Danio rerio: one gene and its partner. The main gene of each other region encodes a partner of the protein of the gene in region 2 in a complex. Links are inferred from orthologs where the notes say so. Each region holds a gene or a part of one and is shown on either strand. Other genes may lie near its edges. The genes, in order: clta and myo6b.

Region 1 (3,831 bases), on a different chromosome or scaffold from region 2:
ACAAATATACATTTTGCCATTTATAATTTGTCAAACTTGATTTAATGAGGTATACTTTTCGACTTTTGATCCAAAATTTGTACATTTATTTCATTTTGCACAGTTTTGACAGGATCTCTTCTACATTTTCCACATCACAGATATCTTAAAGCCCTAAAAGCAATTCAATTCAACAGTTTGTTTATAGAGAGAGCTTTTATAGTATATTCTAATAATAAACCCATTACTATTATTTATACTAAAAGAAAATAAAAGGCCTAGTGCACCTCTAAGACACCCAAAACACAAATATATCCAAAAACATATCAGACTTAGTTTTAGAAAGCATTAAAAAACATTTTTGTTTTTTAGCATTCAATATCTGGCTAGTTCACTGATCCGCTGGTTTTAAGATCAGCCAGAGACGTAGTTGCTTGAAAATTCACTAATACTTAGGGAAGAAATTCACTGCATTACAGATAACACAACTACTTCTACTACACTAAATAGCACTAACATATTGAATCATCTAAATTAATATTAATAAAAGACAATAAACAGCATTGACTAATCATCATCTATACAAATGTTTACACAGTATATCTTCAATATCGGAATAATTCACACAATATGAAAAAAAGCACAACACAAATGACAGAAAAATAATGAGTTAAACGTTTTATGAATGACCATGGAAAAAAAAAAGATCTTGATTTAAAAAAAAAAAATGTTGGACAAGACAAATAAAAAAATCTATGAAACTAAAACAAAAATATACAAATGAACAACATGCATAGTGTGCAACAATATTGGTCTGATTAGTTGAACAAAAACTATCTGGCTTCAAACATGAAGTGAACGAAGAGTTTAGTTAGAGATGTGTGAGATTAACAGGTGATGGAAAAAAAGATGGGATGCGGGGAAACGAGGGAATGAGAGATGCATGTGAAAAGAAAGGATGTTAGTTTTAGCAACATACACATAACCAATCAGATCAGCGAAGGGTTGTTTGTAGAAATCCTCATCCAGCACCCTGGAAGTCCCAGAGGAGAGCAGCGAAGCAGGAGAGAACAGAGAGAGTGGTAAAAAGGAGAAAAACCACACTCATACAGAGCCAGTGTTAACACCAGGCCAAGAACATACAAGATGACAAACCGTGAACACATAAGAGAGACAGACAGAGACAAAGAACTCAGACAACCGTTTCACATTGACAGGAATTAAGACAGATATTCTGAAAGAGATTTAAGAAGACGTGGCATTTTCATTTGTACCAAAACATTTGTGAATTTTCCACTGGGACTGAATGGGAAGCACAAAGCATGTGACTGAAGTTACATTTGATTTCTGACTTAATACCTGTTCTTGTAATATAGTTCTCAGATGCTTCACCAACTGATCAAGAGTTTCTCATCACTTTTTCCCCCCATTCTAACACAACATCCTAAAGCGATGATGGATACAATACCTGCTCCTGATTGGACCAGCTATGATTTTGTGACCTCACATGACCATTGAACAAGGTCAGACTCTCAGATCTGCTTCTTCAGTGTGCTTTTCGGATCATAAAATGGCTACAATTGTACTTGGAGTACTTGAAGGTGTGCTTTTGTGCTGGAACATTAGCTTGACCTATCCTGTCAAGGATAAATACACATGGCACTTAAACCAGCAGTAGGTGGCAGCAGTGAGTAATAAGTCATTATTATTAATAGGGCTGCACGATATTGGAAAAATATGTTGTTTTCCTGCAGTATTTATTGCGATATAAATACAACTTCACCAGATAGCTTGAATAGCTTCATGTGGAATTTTTTTTTTTTATTATTCAGACTGATTGGGGATTATTCTGGGTGTGAATGATGTATAAATTATCATTTAAAAATATGGCTAAATTAAAGCTAGTGCTTTATGTTTCTTTGGAGAGTCAAACAGTATTCAGATACAAAAATTGAATAATCATATGCAAGATAACGCTGTATAGTCATTTATTTGTTGAATAAATAGGTAAATACAAGGAATCTGTATTATGGCCACTGAGTGGTACAGCACAATACAGTATAGATGGGTATGGGTCACCTTTATCAGGCTTGCTTTTTCACTTATTAACACATGCAGATGACAAACTTTGTTATGGTTCGAATCCACAAGTTTCATGTTTTCAGGATAATCGCTCTTACTAAAATATAATACCAACATATACACATCTATGTGCAGATGCACACATTGCAATATTGATGCTAAAACTGTATGTTGTGCAGCCCTAATAAATCATTACATTAAATCTAATCAAACGGTTATGATAATTCTATAAAATACAAGAACGTAATACGATTCAAGTCTATTTTTGTGCCATAGTCAACATCAAAAAACCTACAATATTATTGAAGATGATAAATCTTTACAATCACTCATGCTGGGAGTGTCCAATGAGTTGCATTTTATTTATTTATTTATTTTAACTGTCTATTTTACTTTTTACATTTTTATTAATCTTATTTATTTTGAGTATTATGGAGTTGTGTATTCAACCTATGCATACACTTGCTGTGCATTTGTATGACGATTGAGGACTTGATCAAACACCATTTGTTTGCAGACTGTTAGCGATGTGCCTCTTCTGGTATAATGTCTCGGCTGTGTATTTAAAAATGGAGCTTCTTTGTTTGGGGATGTTTGTTTGTTTGATGTTGATTGTTTTTCTGTTTGGTGCAAATTTATTTAAATATATATATATATATATATTTTTTTTTTAATGCTGTGTAAAACTTTTTTTTAATATACAAATGGAGTAATAAAGGGAGCCATGCACTGTCTAGTGCACAGGTGTCAAACTCAGTTTGTGGAGGTCCTTAGCTCTACATAGTTTAGCTTTGACCCTTATTAAGCACACTTAATCAAACTAATGGAGTCCTTGAGGCTTGTTTTACACCTCTGGGTAAGTGTATTGAAGCAGGGTTGAAACTAAACTGTGCAGGTCTTGTGCTCTTGTAATCGCACAGCAAAAGCCAGAAACTAGGCCTGCCTTGTTGATTTCTTCTGCTCGAACAGTGTTTTGTACCTGTTGTTGACTTTGGTTTTCTCCAGCTGCTCGTTCTGCCTGGTGTGCCATTCCTCCAGCTCCAGCTTTGCCTTCTCTTTCCACTCGGCCTCCTGTTTACGCGAGTTCGCATCTGAAGAGAAACATTCGTCAACCCTAAATGAACTTCAAACTTTAAATGCATCTATATAAAAGCATCCAGGGGTCAGGTTTGCGTTTACCGAGCTCCTCCAGCCTATCTCGCTGCTCCTCTCTCCACTTCCTCAAGCTCTCCGGCTCAGCCTGCAACCGATCCACACTGGAGATGGCCGCGTACACATCTGAAGGGCCATTACTCTCCTACAGAACACACACAGCCAAGCCACACAATTCCAGAACGCAAGTTAGTTGATAGATTTTAATTTTGGTATCTGGATCAGGGATTTGTCCATTATGTTTATGAATTTTATTATATATTTGAATTGGAAAAACAAAACTGGCTTTTTAAAATAGGAGTCACTGGTAAAACTGGGCATTCAGAATTCTGCTCAGCATGTAAAGCCTGACAATTTATTTGATTTGGAGTCAAAATTATTTGTTCATCCATCAAGCATTGTATCATATTTGACACAATACATAGACATTTACACACATTATGTGTCATATAGAAGTAATATACTCTTATAGCATATGAAGAGCACCAAGCAGAAGAAAATTACACAATTGGGTTGACTCTAAAAGTCAATCTAAAAGCTTGTCATGGAAATTAGTGAGAAAAGTGCGGAAGGCAATTTAGATACAATGCAAAAATCGATCTCAGTTATTCTGTAATT
Region 2 (3,831 bases):
CCCTGACCTAGAACAACACATTTTGTAACAACATGCTATAAATGACATCTTCATCACAATCAGATTACCCTAGAATCTCAGCAGCAGGTTTTGAACAGACAAGCAGACACAATTTTTTTATATTTTTTTTAAATTTTATATATTTGTATTCCAGCCCAGCAAAACCCTGCTCCACCTGTCCCAGCCCGGCAACAAGAGATCGCGATGAACCGACAGCAGCGTTACTTCCGCATTCCCTTCATCCGGCCCGCAGACCAGTACAAAGACCCCCAGAACAAGAAGAAAGGCTGGTGGTACGCTCACTTTGATGGACCCTGGATCGCTAGGCAGATGGAGCTTCATCCAGACAAGCAGCCGATCCTCTTGGTTGCAGGTACCAAATACTATGAAGTTAAATCAGTCATTTTCTCCAATCTATAAACAATTAATACGCCAGAAAAGAAGCTGGAATTGATAAAATAGCTGAAACTCTTAAAGGCGGTTAAATTAGGTATTGCACTCCTGGTTCAAAACACACGCAAGCACAGGTTGCTAGATTGGAGACAGAAGCGACTATCAAGCCTAAAGACTGATTTAGATTGTGTTCTAAATAAAAGCAATAACACATGATAGAGGAAATATTTACCATATTGAAAGGAGTTTTTGTCCTAACCAACACCTCGAATTGATATTTTAGAAAAAGCTTTTATTTCTCGCAGCTGAATAACAGGATAAACTGACGATGATCACCTCAGGTGCACCTCATGGACTTTGTTCAGTGTTAAATGCTAATAATGTGAGTTTAAATGCCATTTTACATGACATTTATTGTCATACTACTGAAAGCAGCAGCAGATAGTTCACCTCAGGTTTTGAAAATAAAATAAACCATTTGAAAGTGAATTTTAGAACTGTGACTCAGAGTAAGCCAACACATATCAGTGATTCATCATGTACATTTGATAAAGTTAAAGAGGTTTAATATGTTTAATTAGATTGTATCCCTTACCATATCATTGAAGTGCAGTAGGTGCACTATTCTGTGCTTCTGATGGCTGTATTTAAATTTCTGTCATCTGGTGCAAACAGCCAAATTGCTTATTACTGTGTATCTCATCATGTAGTGTGTTGTTAGAACACGGGGTTACAATGTTACCTGCTCTCCTAATGTTTACCTTCATAATATTTTTTATTATTTGCTAATTAAAAATCACCTCATGTGGAACTCTGAATCTGTGTCTCATTTAGGAGGCTGTTACTGTCCACCGGAGGTTGCATTTTGGTATCGGATGCATATTTTGAGAGCTTTCATGACTGAATGAATCAAATACGCTGTTTTCCTTCAAAGCACCCTGGGGTGCTGAATTATAATTAGCTAAACTGGCAATGGGCAGGTTAAAGTTCCAGCACATAACGCACATTTTCAAAGCGGAATGTCTGACGTCAACATTGTTTTTCAGATAAACAAAAATGTTCACTTAGCAGGTTTCTTAAATATCTACAAACATATTATGGTATTTTTATGCCTTAGTAGAATCCAAACTTACAAACAGCACCTTTAAAAGACAATTCGATGCTTAATTGCGGATGTAAAATGTGTACACAGACAGATTTTGACGCCTTCTGTAACCGTTCTCAGGTAAAGATGACATGGAGATGTGCGAGTTGAGTCTGGAGGAGACCGGCCTCACACGAAAACGTGGAGCCGAGATCCTGCCCCGGCAGTTTGAGGAGATCTGGGAGCGCTGCGGTGGAATCCAATACTTGAAGAATGCTATTGAAAGCAAGCAGGCCCGTCCCACCTACGCCACCGCCATGCTTCAGAATCTCCTCAAGTGAACATCACACATTTCTCTTATTGGTTCACTTTATCTATGCACATTTAGATTAAAAGTTGTGCTGCTAGAAAAAAGGGCAACTCTAGTGGAAGTCTAATTCACTTTTTTTGTTTGTAGTTTGTTCCTTATTTTGCTGTGACCTTAGAAACCAGTTTTCAAACTAATCTGAGCCTTCTTGCTCAGAGATGCCTTAAGATTTTCAAAAAATTCACATCTCACTTGATAGGGATGTTATTTAAATGTCACCCCTCATTTAAAGGACTTATAAAGGACATTTCGCTGTGCAGTGACAGACATTTCTAAAAATATCCTTGCTTGCCCCTTCTTTATTATTACAGTTGATGTGTCATTTGTGACATGTTAAAGAGCCCCTATTATACATTAAAAAGTCATATTTTGGTTTTGTGGGTCTCCAATTACAGGCTGATATGCATGCAAGGTCAAAAACACTTTTGTTTTCTTATAATTTGCATTTATTTTTACCTCATTTTCCCAACGGCTCCCATATGATTTGTTCAAAGATTAATTTGTTCCCAAACCCCTCCTTAGCACGATGCTAATCTGCGCTGATTAGTCTGATGACCTAGTCTGTTGCGATTAGTCGACTGCGTTCAGTGCGACACAGTGTGAAACGCCCACCACAGCTTATCTACATTGTTGAAGTAGTCAGAGTGCAGAGTATATGTGTGAGCCCAATGCAGGAGCGCATTAAAGCAATACAGTTAAACATCAGCATATCGCTCTATTCTTAACCACAAGTAAAAACAACAACACACATTCAGTATTAGTCCACACAGTGGCAAAAGCTGAACTATTTTAAAACTTGACCGCTGCATGTGTAGGAACAGCTGACGGTAGTTATAGCAATGACAAACGACAGAGGATCGCGAGCTAATGGACGCATTTTAATCCATAAACAAAGCAGCATGCTGTGCGTTTTCAACGTGGTTTTAGACGCGATATGTGAAAATTAAGAGTTAATCAGATAGAGTACATGCCGCGTAGAGCGATTACAAGTAGCCAAACACAAACAAATACATAATTTGCAAGCTAGAGAAACAAGGAGACAGCCAATTTAATCTTACACTTGTGAAACTGATCCATGAACTGTGTACTGATAAAGTTTGTCAAAATCTCATACATCAATAGTCTTTTTTGATCCTTCTTTTAACAAACGACCAACAAATTCCCGGTTGCAGGGTAGATTATTGCATTAATCACTACAACGTTCACTCATTAATGTTCACTCACCTTCAGTCCCACACTCACCAGCACTGCTAGCGTTTGAAGTGAAAGGAGCGTTCACGTTTTACCGGATCCAAAACTTTATATTTAGTTTGTCTCGACGTGGATATCAACATGCAAAAAATCCTGACGAACGACGAATCATTTAAACGACTTTTAAGTCGAATCGTTTATTTTAAATTGGATATTTTTAAACAAGGTTGATTTAAACCTCAGCTGGATGTTTTCATTCACTTAGAGCTGTGCTGCACACTGTATGGAAGGTCATTTTCAAAATCCATAATATGGGCTCTTTAAAATATGCTAAAAATGATAATATATTCCTCAAAAGAAATCGCTAAATGTTTATTTATTTAAGCATCCTGACCAGCCCTGGCATCATCAGCTCAACCAATGGTGTATTTGGAGGTGTGTCCATTTATTTTAATTGTTAAACCAATAGCAGTTTTTTCACACTATTGCTGGTGCAGCAAGACATTTTACCTTTTAAAGTAAAATTCTGCTATATTACTTAATATTACTATATAGTAACATATTACTATAACATTATTGTAAAGAAATATGTTAAAACATCAAATAGCTAGTCAAAGTATCCCTAATTGAATCAAATAACGGCATTAAAGGCTAATGAGGAACATGCACCGAAATACATTAGGTTTGAATATTTTCTCTCAGCTTTGCAAATGCGACCAGCAGAATAGTTTCTGAGAAATGCACCATCTGAAAATGCCTTTACATATATTTGATAATGACTTTTATAGATGCGTTT

The links.
Region 1: the proteins of myo6b (region 2) and clta are in contact, whole or in part, in an NMR structure (PDB 6E5N), measured with the Homo sapiens proteins. The link is inferred for Danio rerio from reciprocal best matches to the Homo sapiens genes MYO6 and CLTA. Residues at the interface, in NP_001355794.1 of Homo sapiens: Met1053, Thr1054, Pro1055, Met1058, Ala1059, Met1062, Ser1087, Trp1089, Lys1090, Tyr1091, Glu1113, Arg1117, Leu1118, Val1120, Tyr1121, Trp1124, Asn1128; in NP_009027.1 of Homo sapiens: Glu47, Asn48, Glu50, Ala51, Phe52, Ile54, Leu55, Asp56, Gly57, Gly58, Ala59, Pro60, Gly61.

The regions. Positions count from the first base shown.
Region 1 is NC_133176.1:13,754,061-13,757,891, reverse strand, and holds part of clta (clathrin light chain A), read right to left. Parts: intron 3,359-3,831; coding exon 3,241-3,358; intron 3,153-3,240; coding exon 3,041-3,152; intron 1,013-3,040; coding exon 959-1,012; intron 1-958. UniProt on the Homo sapiens protein: Clathrin is the major protein of the polyhedral coat of coated pits and vesicles.
Region 2 is NC_133192.1:38,550,827-38,554,657, reverse strand, and holds part of myo6b (myosin VIb), read left to right. Parts: intron 1-154; coding exon 155-373; intron 374-1,618; coding exon 1,619-1,818; 3' UTR 1,819-3,831. UniProt on the Homo sapiens protein: Myosins are actin-based motor molecules with ATPase activity. Unconventional myosins serve in intracellular movements. Myosin 6 is a reverse-direction motor protein that moves towards the minus-end of actin filaments.